2 linked regions of the Elephas maximus indicus genome follow. Each later gene encodes a partner of the first gene's protein in a complex. Links are inferred from orthologs where the notes say so. Each region holds a gene or a part of one and is shown in the gene's direction. Other genes may lie near its edges.

Region 1 (9,529 bases):
TACTGACTTCTAGAATGGAGACTTTTTTGAAGCTTAACAGATAACAGTATCACTAAGTGTATTTTCATTTTAAAACCCCCTTTGTTTAAACCTTAAACCAAAAACATTCCCTGAAGTCTTAAAACCAAACACCACTTTAGCTTAACTAGTAAAAAAACGTTCTCCTAAAGCATTACGCTCTTTTAAGAACTATCTACATAAGACCAAACTGACCAGAGCAACTCAAAAGATTAGACAGGAACCTTAGGGGCAGTGATTTTATGTTAATAAGGAAGTGACGACTCAGAAAAGGAGAGTGAGAGTGGTTACTCAACTCAGAGAACATAATCAGCGTCACTGAATGTTACATGTAGAACTGTTGAATTGGTGTACGTTTTGCTGTGCATATTCTCACAATAAAATAAGCACAATTTTTTTTTTTAATGCCCTTCACGAGTTCTCCTTATAACTTCTTTCTAAATGAATCTTGTGTCCTATTATGTGGGAGGATCCAAACCAGACATACAAAGCCAAAATTGCTAGATCAGAATTAGCAATACCCATAACCCAATTCTGACTCACAGTGACCCTACTGGAGAGAGTAGAACTGCCCCATAGGGTTTCCAAGGCTGTAATCTTTACGGAAGAAATCCTGGTGGTGTAGTGGTTAAGAGCTACAGGGTCTAACCGAAAGGTCGGCAGATCGAATCCACCAGGTGCTCCTTGGAAACCCTATGGGGCAATTCTACTCTGTCCTGTAGGGTCGCTAGGAGTGGGAATCCACTCGATGGCAATAGGTTTGTTTTTCTGAGGGGGAGGGAATCTTCCACCCGAGGAGCAGCTGGTGGGTTTGAACCGCTAACCTTTAGGTTCGCAGTTGAGCACTTAACCACTGCACCACCAGGGCTCCTTAGGATTAGCAGTAAGGAATATTATTTCATCAAATCAAATAAACTCAACCTACATGTAGTTTAACCTACACAGCATTACGCATGCTCCAAGCTCTCAAAAGTTATAGCCAAAACTATTTCTCTTAACACAGACACTAAAGTTAGCTGGGTCCATGAATCTTTCAGAGTAGCAGAACTGACAAGAAAAACAATAAACTAAAACTTAGTTTCTGAGTTGAACCTTGGGTAAGCTACTGCTACTGCTACTGTCTGCACACACTTCCAAATATATCAAGAAGTGCTGTATCCAAAGATTGGGAAGAGAAAATAAGGGAATAGTGGAAAACCTTTCAACCTAGCCCCACTGAACATGGCTCTGTTGGTGGATAAACAGTAAAAGATAAAACAGCTGTGAAGCAGTCCTTCTCACTGATTGGGTGAAGAAAACTTCCTAGCAGTAGTTCATTGAAAGTTAATGTAAATACCCAGCCTCTGGTGTTCTGAGAAAAGGAGCCCTGGTGGTGCAGTGGTTAAAGCGCTCGGCTACGAACCACGGGAAAACGATGTGGCAGTTTGCTTCCTTGGAAACCTGATTGGGCAGTTTTACTCTGTCCTATAGGGTCACTGTAAGTTGAAATCGACCTGAAGGCTGTGGGTTTAGTTTCAGTTGTTGTTCTGAGAGGCCTAAAGCCATGGGTGACCTTGTCATCCAACTAACACACAAAAAGTCAGTACCCTCTTGAGATGCAAATTCAGTCATAACAAAGAAATATTTTATTCATGATAAGATAAGCAGCATCTGGCTATCCTCAGAGAGACACCCAGGTTTCTCATGACATTCATCCAGTTCAGCAAACACCGCATGCCTAATGCATAGCGAGCAGCCCTGGTGGTCCAGTGGTTAAAGCGTTCAGCTGCTAGCAAAAGTCAGCAGTTCGAACCCACAAAATTTGCAGAGACTATTTTATTACCTATACTTATGGTGTTCATAAAGAGTATTGAATATACCATGGATTGCCAGAAGAACAAATAAATCTGTCTTGGAAGAAATACAGCCAGAATACTCCTCAGAAGCAAGGATGGCAAGACCTGTCTCAGGTACTCTGGACATGTTATCAGGAGGGATCAGTCCCTGGAGAAGGACATCATGCTTGGTAAAGAAGAGGGTCAGTGAAAAAGAGAAAGACCCTCTAAAAGACGGATTGACTCAGTGGCTACAGCAACGGGCTCCAAGAGCAACAATTGTGAGGATGGCACAGGACTTGGCAGTGTTTTGCTCTATAGCACATGGGGACACTATGACTTGGAATCTACTGGACAGCTCCTAACAACAATGACAACATTACCTATACTTACAGCTACCCATTTATTATAACCAGAAAGGATACAAGCAAAGAGACACATCAGACAAGATCCACTGTCCCCAGGCACAAACCTCACTCACCCTCTCCCCTGCGTGGATGTTCCGACTGATCCTGGAAGCCCCCCGAAAAGGGATTTCAAGGCCCAGAGTACCTTAGTCATTGGGACCTCAACGAATACGCATGACTGCATCACTTCCCCCTCCCTTCTTGAAGTCAGTTTGGTTTGCTAGATATGGGGCCTGTACAGCCCCTACTTGCCTGGCTATTTTAGAAAGGCAAAGAGCACCTTAACTGCTCAGGCTATTTTCAGAACCAGATACAAAAGGTCAAACTTAGTTCTTTGTCCCACACCCTGCTCTCTCACAAACTATCCATTGTCATTCACCTCACATTATTTTTCTCATGTTTGTCTTGTCTTCTCAACAAGATTGGGAGGTCTTTAAGGGCAGGGACCATATAGTCTTCCATATCACCTCCAAAACATCCAGTAGAGCCTTCTATGCACATAAAAAGTATTCAGTTATATTTAACCATGTCAGGCTTCAATTTATAAATAGGGCAAGACAGATAATAAACCAGACTTTGGAAATATCAAAAATTCTCCTTCAGGCTTCTAAGGCTTAGAAAAACACCTAAAAAGCCTTTCAAGTTATACTTTTCCGAGGGCATTTTGAAGTGAGGACTTCAGGTGGTAAGACGAAAAGATATACTAAATTGTGGAGGTTTGGACTAAGTTTTCTCATTCTTAAAAGCAAGGACCAGCAGTGTCTCAAAGATCAGAAGAGCTTCAGACTGCAGTGTTCAATAAGGCATCACATTCAACAACATGTCACTATTCACTACTAGCTGCATTCAGACCCCCTCAGTGAGAGTTCTGGGAACTCTTGATGTCTGCTGGGAAAAAACAAGGCACCTGCTCTTGCCAGCACTAAAATATAGCAAACACACACACACACATACAGCCAAATCAGAAACCAAACCTAAGTAGCATTTAGATGAAATTATGACTATGAAATTGGGGGTAGGCAGATAGAAAAGAAAAACGCTGGAAAAGCCTTAAAAAGCACAACTTTCAGATGAAAAGGCAAGAAATATCCTTTAGGCGCTTATTCACTGGACTCCATTTGTGTTTCTATGAAAGAAGAAGACGCGCAGACACACTTCAGTAGGCTTTCTCATAGATTGCATCTGAGATAATACACAGGTTATCTTGCGTAGCTACCCTGTCTTAACACTAAACCTAAAGACTTTTAAGGAAAGGAACAACCATAAGTAATTCTAAAAACAGCTGGTCAAGTGTAGAACTAACATTCGCCCTGGTGGGTCTCCCCCCAGCAGCTATACCCAACCCAAAACAGCTTCAGGTTTGGGGTGCTGGAGCTGATTAGCATGCCGCAAAAGCGTTTTCCTCAAAACCAGTGAACTACCTCTCTAGGAGGCTAACAGTCTGGCAGAAACTGGTGAAACCAATTTTGTATCAGAGGATGCAGTCCCCAACATTTTGTCCTAAATCTTTTTTCTTTTTAAGTAAGGGAAGTGGGTGAGGAAGGTGACACTGGCAACATCACAACTAAAATAAACCAAGTTGAAACAATATGTTCCGCCTCCTTCCTTAAGCCATTCTCTTCCAAAGTGATAGGGAGCTCAGGAAGTCTGCAAGTCATTAGTTCACTGCTGTTTTCACTTTCGCAAAAACCCTGGAAACCACTGAATAGCAAAATCGCCCTCTTCTCCCTATGTTTACTTTCCAATACTCCCTTTCCGTGCTTTCTTCCTTCCTTCCTTAGAGACAACCGAATAGTGACAATCATCAGCAATCCGCTATTCAACTTCACCGAGGAGGAGAAGGGACAAGGGGGAGGAGGGAGCTGCTGAAAAGTGGAGAAGGAAATAGGGGAAGGTGAGAAGCAAAAGCGCAAAGGAGAATGGGGTGGGGGAGGAAGAGAGGTCATCGTGGGAAGGAGACAAGATGAAGAGTGCAAGAAAATTGGGAGAAGAGTTGTCAGAGGAGAAGCTGCTAAGGAAGACAAAAAGAGGAGGGGGTCAGGTAAAGACAGGAAATGGAATAAGGGGCAAATGGAGCATCCGAGGAGAAAAATACGGGCCGCGGCGCCCGGGGCTTGGGACAAACGACCGGAGACGGTGGGCAGCAGGTATTCGGGGACCGAGTCAGCGGAATCAGGGCAGTGCAGGAAGCTTAAGACCTGTTTCCGGGCTATCGGGAGGAGGAATCCATGCAGGTGCCCGAGCGCAGAGGACACCGCGTTCTTACCGGTAGTTTCGGGCTAACCTCGCCCTTGCAAAAGTGGCAGAAAAACCGGTGCGCGGCTACAGCAGTCCCGGCCGCCGAGGCCTCCGCCATTTTCCTCCTCCGCCGCGGCTGGCGGACACGGCAGCCGGCCGGTCCCTCGCCAGGCCGCTGCTAGCCAGCTACGGCCGCCGCCTCCGCTGCCGCTGCCGCTGCCACCGCTGCCTCCTCTGTGCGACCCGCGGCTCCCGAGTCCGCGTCGGTCACGTGAGTCCGCTGGGCTCAGCCAGACGGCGCCGGCGCGGCCCGCGACCCCGCGGCCCGCCCCCAGCACCAAAAAGGCGCAAGAGAGTCCCCCAGCCGCGGCCCGCCCCGCCGGGTCCTCAAACAGCCCCTCGTCGGTCCTCCAACCTTCCAGCGAGAAGAAAGAAAGAGCGTCTCGGAAACCACTGAAACTCTGGGGTAGAGCGGCCCCCAATTTTACCGCTTCCTGGTTCTCCGGGGTGTTGGTCTTCTTGCGAGAAAGGGCTGTGGGCTCTCCCTCTGCCCGGGAGGCTAGTGGGAGCCGCGCGAAGTCGTTGGGATGAACTCGAGGTGTTAGGTTTGGAGCCCCCGGATTGCATTGACCCTGAGGTTAGTGGGAAATGCCGTATGAACGAAGCGGCCTTGGCTCTGGATCAAGAGACCAAGTTCGGAACGCGAACCTGCGTGAAGGGAGTGGAGATGCTGGAGCCAAGCTCCTTAGGAATCCTCTTCGAGGATGGCTAAGGGCCTGGGGATGCTTTTCCAAAGACATGTGGATGGGTGAAATAGGTCTCTGGCGACGCTGAGGCTGGGAGACAAACACTTGGATTCTGAGGGGTTGGGAGGACTACACGAATCAACCAGTATTTCGTAGCAGCTTGTGATCAAAAGGAAACTCTGGTGGCGTAGTGGTTAAGTGGTACGGCTGCTAACCAAAAGGTCGGCAGTTCGAATCCGCCAGGCACTCCTTGGAAACTCTATGGGGCGGTTCTACTCTGTCTTATAGGGTCGCTATGAGTCGGAATCGACCCGACGGCAGTGGGTTTTGGTTGGGTTTGTGATCATAAGGAAGTAACCCTAAAAAGAGTACCTGGGTTTTGCAAACAGTTAAGCATTAAGGTTGAAGATTCGAATCCACCCAGAGGCATTTCCTTAGAAAGGCCTGGTGATCCACTTCGAAAAATCAGCCGTTGAAAACCCTACGGAGCGCGGTTCTACCCTAACACACGTGGGGTTGCCATGAGCCAGAATGACTCCAGTGCAAGTGGTTTAATCGTATAATTAGCTATGTCCATTTTGGTTTGTGTCTATTTTGTCAAGGAGTAGAAATTTCATAATTAAATACTGCCCTGTAAACAGCATACTTCATCTCCTGTTTGAAGGACCCTGTCCTGTTAAGAAGCTCTACCTCCTAATTTCATTTTCCTTAACCAACTGGGACTGACACTGCCTGGTCACTCCTAGTGGGCTGTGAACACTCACTTCTTCCAAGCAATAGAATCTAAGGTCTGTGACAGATCACAAAACCATCTACAGCCAAACTTAAAAAAAAATTTTTCATCGTACATAATCTCATAAAGATAAATTTGATGCTGTACACATTCTAGCCTTGTTTTCTATGCATACGTGTTTTTTGTTTGTTTTTACAATAATTCAATTTTACTCCACGTTTTGCTTTGTAACTTGCTTTTTTCACTTAATACATTATGAACAACTTTTTTGTTAACACATACATACTATATGTCGTTTTAAATGTGGGTATAGTATTCTATCGTATGGAGATACCATAATTTATTGAACTGAGTCCTTATTGCTAGGATACTAGATTGTTTCTAGTATTTTAACGAGAACTACAGTGACGTGTTTTTATTATTTCCTGGGGACAGAGTACTCACAATGAAATTGCTGGGCCAAAAGTGTGCAAGATTTTAAGACTTTTGAAATATATTGCTACATCACCCTCCAGAAAGAGTACGTGAATTTATACTCAGCAAGTCTACAGTAAACACGCTCTACACGCAACATAAAAGCAAAATTTCCCATCATATACTTTTTTTCCTAGCTCTGAAGCCCCTCAAGTACAATGACCCAAGCAGAAATTAAGCTGTGTTCTTTGTTGCTGCAAGAGCATTTTGGAGAGATCGTAGAAAAAATTGGAGTCCACCTAATCAGAACTGGTAGCCAACCACTAAGAGTAATTGCCCATGACACAGGAACATCACTGGATCAGGTATGTTTAAATAGCATTAATGTACACTTCTGTCACCTACCTTTAAATATTGTTACTGCCCACCCAAGAAAATGGAAAAGGGAGGAAACCTGCCCTAGAATCAGAACCATGTTGTTTGGGGGAAAGAGAATGGGACTTAAGCCCCAAGGTCCTGCTTTTCAAAATGTTCCTAGTTCATTGTGGCTTCTTAGGCAAGTCATTCCTCTTCCCATTCCATGCCTCATTTGTTTACTATGATTCTATTAATCTCAGTACTACCTTTAAGGAATGAGAGAGAGAGAGCAAATTGTACTTTGAAAGAATCAGAGGGAATAGAAGCATCAGGAAGGAATTGTCCAGATTTCTTCCATTGACATGTGGTTCTTATTAACTACTCCAGGGGAGAGAGAAGCAGCACAGAGATTCCTCTCCAGCTATCTCCTGGTGCTTAGAAAACCGTTGGACAAAAATTGCCAGCAATATTGAGCTATGTCTTCAGGTCTCTCTTTCTTTGGGTTCTACCTAGGTTAAAAAAGCCCTTTGTGTCCTTATCCAACATAACCTGGTGACATACCAAGTACACAAACGTGGTGTGGTGGAGTATGAAGCCCAGTGCAGCCGGGTATTACGAATGCTGAGGTATCCCCGGTACATCTATACTTCCAAAACGCTGTACAGTGACACTGGAGAGCTAATTGTTGAGGAGCTGCTGTTGAATGGCAAAATGACAATGTCAGCTGTCGTGAAGAAAGTGGCAGACCGGCTCACAGAGACAATGGAGGGTCAGTACTGTATCCACAGCTGCTAGCCAAAGCTTAGATTATGGGGCTGCAGGAGCAGACCCTTAGCTATCTTAGACCGTCTAATCTGCCCCTTTGCTCCTGTTGTACAGATGGCAAGACCATGGATTATGCTGAGGTATCAAACACTTTTGTGCGACTGGCAGACACACACTTTGTGCAGCGCTGTCCCTTGGTACCTGCCACTGAGAATTCAGACCCTGGGCCACCGCCACCTGCTCCCACTCTTGTCATTAATGAAAAGGACATGTACCTAGTTCCTAAACTGAGCTTGATAGGTAAGGAATTTTGACTTTTCAAATTGTGATTTGTCCTAACTGTGGACTCTTCGTCATTTTTAAATGAATGCATGAATCGAGTATTCATCAAGTGATTGGTATGTGCAGAAGTTGTGGTATATAATAATGAAAAAACCAGCGTGACCCCTGCTGTTACGGGACTTTAGTATAGGAGATGTGCATTAATCAAATAATCACGTAAATATAGAATAACAAACTGTGATAAATACTGTGAAGGAAAACTATAGAGTGTTATACTTTTATAATATATAACAGGGACTGAGGGCTTAGGGCACATCCTTCTTTGAGAAAATGACATCACAGCTAAGATTTGAAGCTGAAGTAGGAGCCAACCAATGAGGGAGCATGGAGGGGTACAAAGGTAAGCATTTTTGGCAAAGGGAATAGCATGTAGGGAGAAAAAAAATAGGATGTTTGAGGAACCGTAAGAAGGTCAGTGTCACTAAAGCATGATGTGCAAAGGCAAGAGAGACGTAAGGTTAGAGAGATAGGCAGGGGCCAGATCAAGCAGCACTGTACAGAGCATCTGTTCTTTATCCTAAAAGCAAGGAATAACCACTTTAGAATTTTAAGCAGGGAAGTGACATGATCTAATTTACATTTTTAAAAGATGTTACTGTGTACAGAAAGGATGGGAGGATGGGACAATGGTAAATGTGGACAGAACAGTGAAAACTAAATATAGAAGGGGTGATGGAGGCAGAGGTATTAAGAATATCATCTAGGCATCTGACTTGCATGTGTGGGAGGATGTATGCCATTCGCTGTGAAAGGAAACATTGGAGGAAGACCAGTGTGAAGGAGAAAGATTATGAATTTCTTTTTGAACATGTTGAGTTTCAGATGCCTTCATCATTTACTTGCGTTTCTTATAGTTCCTCAGCCTCCTAAGCAACTCTAACCTAGAGGCAGCTTAGGATGAAGAGACACTGGTTCTTATGTTTGGTCATTTCTTGTCATCACGTGAGATGTAGCCTAACTGTTCTGTTTTATTTGGAAGGAAAAGGTAAAAGGAGGAGATCATCTGAGGAAGATGCTGCTGGGGAGCCGAAGGCCAAGAGACTAAAACATACCACAGAGAACAAAGAGGTAATGGGGCTGCTTGATGGGGAGTCCTCACCCTGAGACAGGCCAGGAAGAGCACCCAGATAACAAGCCCCAAGACAGCCTAAAAGTTCCTGAGCTGAGAACTAGTAGGATTATGAACTTCATTAAATATTGGCCAGGAATAGACTAATGTAGAATGAACACTCTTATTTATTTTTAAGGCGTAACTTCATTCATTGAACAGAAGTAACATTTATGCAAAAAGAGGGCCTGGAAAAAACTTAAGTTGTTTAGTATAGCCAGAACATAGAGACCCGTGGAGGCCAATGGTGAGAAATGACTCTAGAAATATATACCTAGGCCTAGGATTTATATCCAAATGCCTTCTCAGCATCCCTATAAGGATGTCTAGTAAGTATTTCGAAATTAACATGGCCAAAACAGAATAGTTGATTTCTCTGCAGATATTTGTTCCCTCTTAAGCTTGCCACTTCTTAGTAAAGGATACCACTATTGACTTCAGCCAAAACCTAGGAGCCATCCAATCTAGTGGTAAAACCTGTCAGCTCTGTTTCTAAAATTCCCTCAAATCCAACCACTTCTCACCTTTTCCACTGCTATTGACCTAGTCCAAGTCACTATCATCTCTTGTCAAGACTTCACCAACAC
Region 2 (10,144 bases), on another chromosome or scaffold:
AGAGCAAGTCCACGAAAGCCAAAATATGACCTTGAATATATCCCACCTGAATTCAGAGACCATCTGAAGAATAGATTTGATGCATTGAACACCAGTGACCGAAGACCAGACGAGTTGTGGAATGACATCAAGGACATCCTCCATGAAGAAAGCAAGAGATCACTGAAAAGACAGGAAAGAAAGAAAAGACCAAGATGGATGTCAGAGGAGACTCTGAAACTTGCTCTTGAGTGTCGGACAGCTAAAGCAAAAGGAAGAATTGATGAAGTAAAAGAACTGAAGATTTCAGAGGACCTCTCGAGAAGACAAAGTATTATAATGACACATGCAAAGAGCTGGAGATGGAAAACCAAAAAGGAAGAACACTTTCGACGTTTCTCAAGCTGAAAGAACTGAAGAAAAAATTCAAGCCTCGAGTTGCAATAGTGAAGGATTCCATGGGGGAAAATATTAAACGACGCAGGAAGCATCAAAAGAAGATGGAAGGACTACACAGAGTCAGTATACCAAAAAGAATTAGTCGATATTTAACCATTTCAAGAGGTGGCATATGATCAGGAACCGATGCTACTGAAGGAAGAAGTCCAAACTGCTCTGAAGGCATTGGTGAAAAACAAGGCTCCAGGAATTGATGGACTATCAATTGAGATGTTTCAACAAACAGATGCAGTGCTGGAGGTGTTCACTTGTCTATGCCAAGAAATATGGAAGACAGCTTCCTGGCCAACTGACTGGAAGAGATCCACATTTATGCCTATTCCCAGGAAAGGTGATCCAACCAAATGTGGAAATTATAGAACAATTTTTATCATTAATATCACACACAAGCAAAATTTTGCTGAAGACCATTCAAAACTGGCTGCAGCAGTATATCGACAGGGAACTGCCAGAAACTCAGGCCAGTTTCAGAAGAGGACATGGAACCAGGGATATCATTGCTGATGTCAGATGGATCCTGGCTGAAAGCAGAGAATACCAGAAGGATGTTTACCTGTGTTTTATTGACTATGCAAAGGCATTTGACTGTGTGGATCATAACAAACTATGGATAACACTGCGAAGAATGGGAATTCCAGAACACTTAATTGTGCTCATGAGGAAACTTTACATAGATCAAGAGGCAGTTGTTCGGACAGAACAAGGGGATACTGAGTGGTTTAAAGTCAGGAAAGGTGTGCGTCAGGGTTGTATTCTTTCACCATACCTATTCAATCTGTATGCTGAGCAAATAATACGAGAAGCTCGACTATATGAAGAAGAACGGGGCATCAAGATTGGAGGAAGACTCCTTAACAACCTTCGTTATGCAGATGACACAACCTTGCTTGCTGAAAGTGAAGAGTACCTGAAGCACTTAGTAATGAAGATCAAAGACCACAGCCTTCCGTGTGGATTACACCTCAACATAAAGAAAACAAAAATCCTCGCGACTGGATCAATGAGCAACATCATGATAAACGGACAAAAGATTGAAGTTGTCAAGTATTTCGTTTTACTTGGATCCACAATCAACAGCCATGGAAGCAGCAGTCAAGAAATCAAAAGACGCGTTGCATTGGGCAAATCTGCTGCAAAGGACCTCTTTAAAGTGTTGAAGAGCAAAGATGTCACCCTGAAGACTAAGGTGCGCCTGTCCCAAGCCATGGTATTTTCAATCACATCATATGCATGTGAAAGCTGGACAATGAATAAGGAACACAGAAGAAGAGTTGACGCTTTTGAATTGTGGTGTTGGAGAAGAATATTGAATATGCCATGGACTGCCCAAAGAATGAACAAATCTGTCTTGGAAGAAGTGCAGCCAGAATGCTCCTTAGAGGCAAGGATGGCGAGACTGTGTCTTACATACTTTGGAGATGTAGTCAGGAGGGATCAGTCCCTGGAGAAGGACATCATGCTTGGCAGAGTACAGTGTCAGCGGAAAAGAGGAAGACCCCTTAACGAGGTGTTTTGACACAGTGGCTGGAACAATGAGCTCAAGCATAACAATGATTGTAAGGATGGCTCAGGACTGGGCAGTGTTTCGTTCTGTTGTGCGTAGGGTCACTATGAGTCGGAACCGACTCGATGGCACCTAACAACAACAACGTTAACGGAAGGAGCCCCGGTGGCGCAGTGGTTAAGTGCTTGGCTGCTAACTGAAAGGTGGCTGCTGTTCATTGTGGATCCAAGTAAAATGAAATCCTCAACAACGTCAGTATTTTCTCCATTTATCATGATGTTGCTTATTGGTCCAGTTGTGAGGATTTTGTCTTCTTTATGTTGAGATGTAAGCCACACTGAAGCCTGTAGTCTTTCTTTTTTTTTTAATTGTAGTTTAAGTGAAAGTTTTCAGCTCAAGTTAGTTTCTCATACAAAAATTTATACACATTATTATTGACCCTAGTTGCTCTCCCTGTAATGTGACAGGACACTCCTCTTTTCCACCCTGTATTCTCGTGTCCATTCAACCAGCTCCTGTCCCTTTCTGCCTTCTCACCTCTCCTACGGAAAGGAGCTGCCCATTTTGTCTCATGTACCCACTTGAAATAAGAAGCACACTCTTCACGAGTATCATTTCATGTCTCATAGTCCAATTGAATCTTTGTCTGAAGAGTTGGCTTTGGGAATGGTTTTAGTTCTGGATTGACAAAGCATCCAGGGGCCATGTCTTCTGGGGTTCGTCCAGGCTTAGTCAGACCACTAAGTCTGGTCTTTTTACTAGAATTTGAGTTCTGCACTCCACTTTTCTCCTGTTCCGTTAGGGACTCTGTTGTGTTCCCTGTCAGGGCCATCGTTGGTGGTAGCCAGGCACCAACTAGTTCTTCTGGTCTCAGGCTGATGGAGTCTGTAGTTTATGTGGCCCTTTTTGTCTCTTGGGCTAGTATTTTCCTTGTGTCTTTGGTGTTATGCACTCTCCTTTGCTCCAGGTGGGTTGGGACCCATTGACGCATCTTAGATGGGCACTCGGTAGGTTTTAAGATCACAGATACTACTTACCAAAGTGGAATGCAGAATATTTTCTTGAAGACTGTAGTCTTTGATCTTCATCAGTAAGTGCTTCAAGTCCTCTTCATTTTCAGTAAGCAAGGTTGTATTATCTGCGTATCGCAGGTTGTTAATGAGCCTTTCTCTAATCCTGATGCCCCGTTATTCTTCATATAGTCCAGCTTCTCAGATTATTTGCTTAGCGTATAGATTGAATAAGGATGGTGAAAGGATACAACCCTGACGCATACGTTTCCTGACTTTAAACCACGCAGTATCTCCTTGTTCTTTTTGAACAACTGCCTCTTGATCCATGTACTGATTCCTCATAGGCACTATAAAGTGTTCTGGAATTCCCATTCTCCGCAATGTTATCCATAGTTTGTTAAGATCCACACAGTCGAATGCCTTTGTATAGTCAATAAAACATGGGTAAACATCTTCCTGGTGTTCTCTGCTTTCAACCAGGATCCATCTGACATCGGCAATGATATCCCTGGTTCCATGTCCTCTTCTGAATCTGGCTTGAATTTCTGGCAGTTCCCTGTTGATGTATCACATCACATACCGTACAATTCACCGACTTAAAGTGGAAAATTCAATGCTTTTAGTATATTCACTGAGTTGTGTAGCCATCACCACAATTCAATTTTGAAACATTTTCAACCCCCTAAAAGAAACCCCATGCCCATTAGCTGCCACTGTCTAATTCCCCTCCTCACCCCCAGCCATAAGCAACTCCTAATTTACTTTCCATCTTTCTTGGTTATCTAGTGCTGCTATAACAGAAATACCACGAGTGAGTATCTTTAACAAAGAGAGATTTATTCTCTCACAGTTTAGGAGGCTAGAAGTCTGAATTCATGGTGCCAGCTCCAGGGAAAGGCTTTCGCGCTCTGTCAACTCTAGGGGAAAGTCCTTGTCATCAATCTTCCCTGGTCTAAGAACTTCTCGGCACAGGAACCCCGGATCCAAAGGATGTGCTCTGCTCCTGGCACTACTTTCTTGATGCTATGAGGTCCCTCTGTCTTTCTGCTTTCTTCTCTCTCTTATATCTCAAAGAGAGTGACTCAAGATACAACCTAATCTTATAGATTGAGTCCTGCCTCATTAACATAACTGTCTCTAATCCTGCCTCATTAGTATCATAGAGGTAGGATTTACAACACATAGGAAAATCACATGAGATGACAAAATGCTGGACAATCACACAATACTGGGAAGTGGACACACATTTTGGGGGGACACAATTCGATCCATAACACTGTCTCTATAGATTTGACTATTTTGGACATTTCATAGAAATGACATCATACAATGACTTCTTTCCCTTAGCACAATGGTTTTGAGGGTCATTCACGTTATACCATGTGTCAGTAAGTACTTTATTCCAAATGGTATTATTTTATTGTATGAATATAGGACACTTTATCAATTCACCAGTCACTATTAACAATTTAATATGCCTCCTGTATTTGTTCAGATTGTGTGGTTTGAATCCCTACTGGACAAGTTTGGAGGTGAGAAACTTGGGTAAATAGTAATCTCTCCAAGCCTCTGCCTCAGTTTCCTCAATTGTAAAATGTGAATAATAATGAAACTGGGTTGGGTAGAGTGTCATGGGTGTACTTTTAAAATTTCTTGAGCTTTATATGGATTACCTAACAGATTTATGATTTACAGATTAGGTCATTGACGCTGGGAGAGGTTAAGTCCCCAAGGTCAAACATCCTCTAAGAAAGTTCTGGGGGTAAACAGGAACACGGGCTCTCTGACTGCAAAGCCCGCACCGTTAACTGGTAATTCCATGGAGTAACAAATTGTTTAGCAAGGGCCTTGCAAAGAGAATGAGCTTGAGAATCAATAAACGTGAAAGTATAAAAAAGGAACAAATCAGCAATTGACTCATCATCAGAAGGCACCTGCCATCATTAATATTTCAGATATTTCCTTCCAGTCTTTTAAAGAAATATTTCAAACATACGAAGATGATAATAGATATCCACCACAATCGCCATTTTTTTTAAAGTCATAAAATGTAATAAATCGGATAGCTCTACCTCCCATACCGTTAGGCATTTTTTTTTCCTATGCATAGAGGCACTCTGAAGATAGGCCTGGCAATCTACTTCTGAAAAATCAGCCGTTGAAAACTCTGTAGAGCACAGTTCTGCTCTGGCACAGGGGTCGTCACGAGTCAGAATCAAATTGACTGCAACTGCTTCGTTGGTTGGTTATTTTTCTGTAGATAATTAGAAGCACGCGTTGTTTTGTATGTTTTTCAATCCTACTTTGAGTATTTTCCTAGCATATCACATCTTTTACATGATTTTTCATGGCTGCATATATTGTATGGCTGTAACATAATTCAATCGATTCCCCATTATTGGGCATTTCGGTCATTTCCCAGCAAAAACATCACTACACATACATCTCTCTCTTTCAAGCATCTGATAATTCCCTTTGGAGAAATTCCCAGAAAGGCCCCACAGTCAGAGACTGTGGCTGGCTTTAAGGCTCTTCATATCTCTTGCCAGTAAACCCTCAAGGAAAAATGGGAACGGGTTGGGGGGGGGGGGGGCTGGGATTTTTTTTTTCCACTTTTAAAAAACATTTTATTCAATTGTAACACACGTACAGAAAACTGCACAGAAGTCTACGACTCCCTGAATTTTCAGACACTGAACGCATTCGCGTACCCAACACGCTGATTAAACAGATACTTTCCTGCTCCCTGAAGCCCCGCCCCATCACCGCCCCCTGAGGGCTCCCGGCGTGCAGCGCGGCGATCCCAGCATGCACCGCGACGCAGACCGGCGACAGGGGGTGCTCAGCGTGGAGAGCTGGAGTTGTGGCGGCTCAGGTTGAGGTTTTTAGTCACCTGGCGGCCGGAGGCGACGAGACGGGGACGACATGGAAGTGTAAGCCACCCGGGACGCGTTTTGGAGTCTGGAGCCGGCGCTAACAGCTAGGGGCGACTGGACCGTTGAAAGCCGAGAGACGGGAGGATGGGGCGACCCGTCGCATGGGGGAACCGCAGTCGGGGAGGGCCCGTGGGGTCCAGGTGGGCGCAGAAGAGAGAGACTCGTGCTTCCGTCCGAGCCTTTGTACCTGGGACACCGGGCCGAGCGCCCCTGGGCCCGGCTGCTTTTTCCTCTGTGCCTTCTCTCTGCCCCGTTCGTTTAAAAGCGTTTTCTGGGTCACAGTGGGAAACCCGGGCCGGTATCCGAGCGGGGACTCGGAGAGGAGTACACCCCTGGGAGTACCAGGAGGGGGGCGGAGAAGTGCTGGGATGGAAGTGCTCCTGCGGGCAGGAGGCCCCTGTGCCTTCCTAACTCGGGAGAGGTGCCATCCAAGTTTGACGAGCAGTTAGGGAGAGCGTGAGCCTCGACTGGAGAAACAGCCCTGTGTGGGGTTGTGTTTATTAAAAAAAATAAACAAAAAAACAAACCCATTGCTGTTGAGTGGATTCCGACTCATAGTGACCCTATAGGACAGGGTAGAACTGCCCCAAAGAGTTTACATCGAGCGCCTGGTGGATTCGAACTGCTGACCTTTTCGTTAATAGCCATAGCACTTGACCACCAGGCCACCAGGGTTTCTTGCGTGTTTACAGGACAGAGTAAAAGCTCTTCTAACAATTTAACTCGACGTTGTTTTTTCCATATTTGCCCATTGTACTACATGCAAATAGAAGTTTTTGTATCAACCCCGCGGATGGGTTTTTACGTGGTTGACGTTAACTTGAAGACATACCTATATTGTGTTCTCCGTAGCACTGATGGAAACCCTGGTGGCGTAGTGGTTAAGTGCTACGGCTGCTAACCAAGAGGTCGGCAGTTCCAATCCACCAGGCACTCCTTGCAAACTATGGAGCAGTTCTACTCTGTCCTGTAGGGTCGCTGTGAGTCGGAATTGACTCGATGGCAGTGGGTTTCGTTTGGGTTTTTGGTATAGCACTGATTATTTAATACACACATTTTATTTTGTGTTCTTTCATCTTATGTTTAATGGTTATATGCTGTGCAGACCTTTTTTTTTTTTAACCTTAACACATCTAAGCGTAATTGAAACAAAAGTTACATGAAACAATGTTTACTGTATGCAGTTCACTCTGATACTGTCTGTTCTGTTTCATTAAAAAGGATGTCCACATGACCTACTGTATTGATTTCACAACCCACAATGGGGTTCAATCTACACCTTGAAAAACACTAATTATGTATTATTCTGGTCCAAGCGGGCATCATCAATTTCTCCGTTTTTGCTAGAGCATTTCCTGTTAGCGTACAAACCTGTTTTAATTTATACATCTTGAAATACCTTGGAATAGTCCACTTTCAGGTCTCCACCTACTGCCTCATTTCTGCTTCCTGGCACAGCAGAACTTCTTGGAAGTGCTGTTTATCCTCACTCTCTAAGCCATTGAGTTGGACTTTCATCCTTTCCAGTGTGCAGAAGTGACTCTTGTGAAGATGACCTGAGTCTTCCTTCTGTCTTGTCAAATCCAAAGGTTGATTTTCTGGCTTCACCTTTCTTGATCTCTCAGCAGCAATTGCTATACTTACCTACTCATTTGTTCTGGAAACTCTTCATTGGCTTTATGGCATGCTCTCCTGGTTTTCGTCCTACATCAAGGACTACTACTCAGTCCTTTCCTGGAGCCACCTCTCCCTTGTTTGGTTCCTAAATGTTGAAGTTTCAGGGCTCAGTCCTGGGATGCATTCTCTCACACTCTCCCTTGGTCATCTTACCCACCTATATGCTGATTATTCTTAAAATTATGTTTCTAAGTTCTGTTCTCTCTCTTGAGCTCTAGGCTCCTGTTCTCTTCTACTTGCTTGACACCTCCACTTGGATGTCTAAAAGGCAACTCACACTTAGCAGTTTTAAAACAGAACTACTTATGCTCCCTTCCTGGTCCTTACCTAACCTAACCTGTATCTCAGTTATTAGGACCATTACCCATTCAATTGCTTAAACCAAAAATCTAGTCCCCTTTTCCTTCACCCCTAAATCCAGTCCATCATGGACTGTTACCTCCACCTTCAGAATACGTTTTGAATGTAGTTATTTTTCACCATCTCTGCTGCTAATTTTCTAGTCCTTCATCTCTTGTCTGGATTAAGCAACAGCATTTGGCTTCCCCTCTTGTCCACTTCCATTTCATTTGAAAGAACGATCTTAAAGTATTAGATTGTATCACCCCTTTTGTAAAACCCTTCATTTGCTTTCCATTGCACTTAGAGGAAATCCAAATTCCTTATTAGGATTACAGTGCAGTGAACTACTTAATATGGTCCGTTTAGGCATACTCTTTGTGATTCCCACACAATGATTGGGTGGGGCTATGCAAATAAGGTGCTTGTGGCCCACCAAGGGGATTGGGCAACTTGTAGCTAATGCAAATAAGGTACATGGCACCCTTGTGGGGATGGGGCCATGCAAATAACGTGTATGGAACCCTAATGAGGGGATTGGTCAGTTTTGCCATCCCATTAGGCTTAAAATGAGCTATCCCAGAGGCAGAAAAGGGAATCTCACTACTACCAAGAAAGAAAAGCTAGGAATGGAACTCATCCTTTGAACTCGGGATCCCTGCACTGAGAACCTCCTAGACCCAGGAGACAGAGAGCTGCAACACTGGAGATGGCAAGAGATGGCGGCAGCAGAACCAGGAGGCTGGCGCCAGAAGGCACAGTGAGCTTCTTGGCCCGTGGAGTAAGGCATTTGCGGCGGGTGTGCAGACACAGAGCCAGTGAGCTGAGCACCTTAAGACCAAAGCTTCCGGGCAGAGTAGGGTGTCTCTAGGAACTTATTGGCGGAGCTAGAGAACTTTGTAACACTTGCCCAAGCAGGGCAGAGGCCAGGCTGAGGGGCTGAAAGCCAGGGAGAGGCCTGTGCCTGCAGGCATGGCTGAGAAGAGGCTGTCCTGTTCAAAGAACTGTATCCTGAGTCGTTTCTGATCCTGGATTGTAACCTGTTATTGGCCTAATTAACCCCATTGTCATGAGTATTGTCTTTGAGTTCTGTGTGGCCATTGTGCTGAATTACCAAACCCAGCAAAGGAGTAGAGAGTGCTGTGGGAGGGATGGCTGATGTCAGAATTGGTGAAAAGGTTGGAGGGTGGAGGTATGTTTGACATCCACCTCATAGGAATCAGCCTTTTGCTGTTGCTGATTTTGATTCTCTCTTCTCCCCCTCCTGAATTTGGAGGAGGTCAGATGCCCCCACCATGCAGTTTTTACAAGGAGACTTACAGGACCCTGTGTAACCTGGCTACTCACCAGACTTATCTCTTGCCACTCTTCCTACCTCCCAGACACACACACTGTACTCCAGCCATGCGGGCAGTCGGAAAGTTCCTCCAACCTTCCAAGTCCTTTCCTACCTCAGAATTTTTGCTTTGCTGATTCCTCTGCCTGGTATGTGTCTCCCCCTTCCCAGCTTCCTTATCTTTTTGATAGCTCAGCTTGAGTGTCTCTTTTAAAAGTTGTCTTTCCTTTTCAGTCAATTCAAAATAAGTCTTCTTTTGTCTCTCACAGCACCCTCATTTATTTTCCACTTAAATAATTATAAGTTGTTACAATAGATAACGTGTTTACTTGTTTAGTGCCTGGGTTGTCTCCCCCACCAGAGTGTAAGCTCCAGGAGGGCAGGGACCAACCTCTGTTTGTTCACCTCCTGCTTAGCACTGCATGTAGCACACAGTAGGCATTCAGCAAATACTTGTTGAATAAAGTAATATTGCGATACTTCATCAGTTTAATAAGTAAAAATGGGTTAGCTAGTATCCTAATTGCTAGGCATATAGATTTTCTGATTTTTCTAAGTGAAATGGTTTGAATCAAGGTTTTTTACTCATTTAACAACCTGTCCCCTTCTCCCAAGGAGTCAGTGACTTCTTGAAACCAGTCAAGAATTTTGCAGCTAGCAATTTATGGGGAAATGGAGTTTTGGGAGGGAGGCTCTAGGTTCTGGGAGTGGGAGCACCCCTGGAATGGAAGGGTCTGGGGGCCTGACTTCTAGTTCCTGCCCGTCAGGCGTGACCTCTCGTAGCCTGGTCCTCAGGATCTGCAGCAGAATGCTGAGTCTGAGAGCGAGCACATTGTGTCCGTCAGGGATGACAAGGCAGGAACGGAAAACTCCCCTGAGTTCTGACTACTGTTTTTTTCAG

Evidence for each region. The genes of interacting proteins can lie anywhere in the genome.
Region 2: POLR3C (region 1) and CRCP share a complex: the UniProt entries of both Homo sapiens proteins name them as parts of the RNA polymerase III complex. The link is inferred for Elephas maximus indicus from reciprocal best matches to the Homo sapiens genes POLR3C and CRCP.

The regions. Positions count from the first base shown.
Region 1 is NC_064821.1:157,752,747-157,762,275, reverse strand, and holds the start of POLR3C (DNA-directed RNA polymerase III subunit RPC3), read left to right. Parts: upstream 1-5,024; 5' UTR 5,025-5,114; intron 5,115-6,391; exon of another isoform or gene 6,392-6,476; intron 6,477-6,567; 5' UTR 6,568-6,588; coding exon 6,589-6,735; intron 6,736-7,240; coding exon 7,241-7,496; intron 7,497-7,606; coding exon 7,607-7,792; intron 7,793-8,813; coding exon 8,814-8,902; intron 8,903-9,529. Other genes in the region: E3 ubiquitin-protein ligase RNF115, read right to left, coding at 4,506-4,595. UniProt on the Homo sapiens protein: DNA-dependent RNA polymerase catalyzes the transcription of DNA into RNA using the four ribonucleoside triphosphates as substrates.
Region 2 is NC_064830.1:103,354,814-103,364,957, forward strand, and holds the start of CRCP (DNA-directed RNA polymerase III subunit RPC9), read left to right. Parts: upstream 1-5,770; 5' UTR 5,771-5,880; coding exon 5,881-5,888; intron 5,889-10,144. UniProt on the Homo sapiens protein: DNA-dependent RNA polymerase catalyzes the transcription of DNA into RNA using the four ribonucleoside triphosphates as substrates.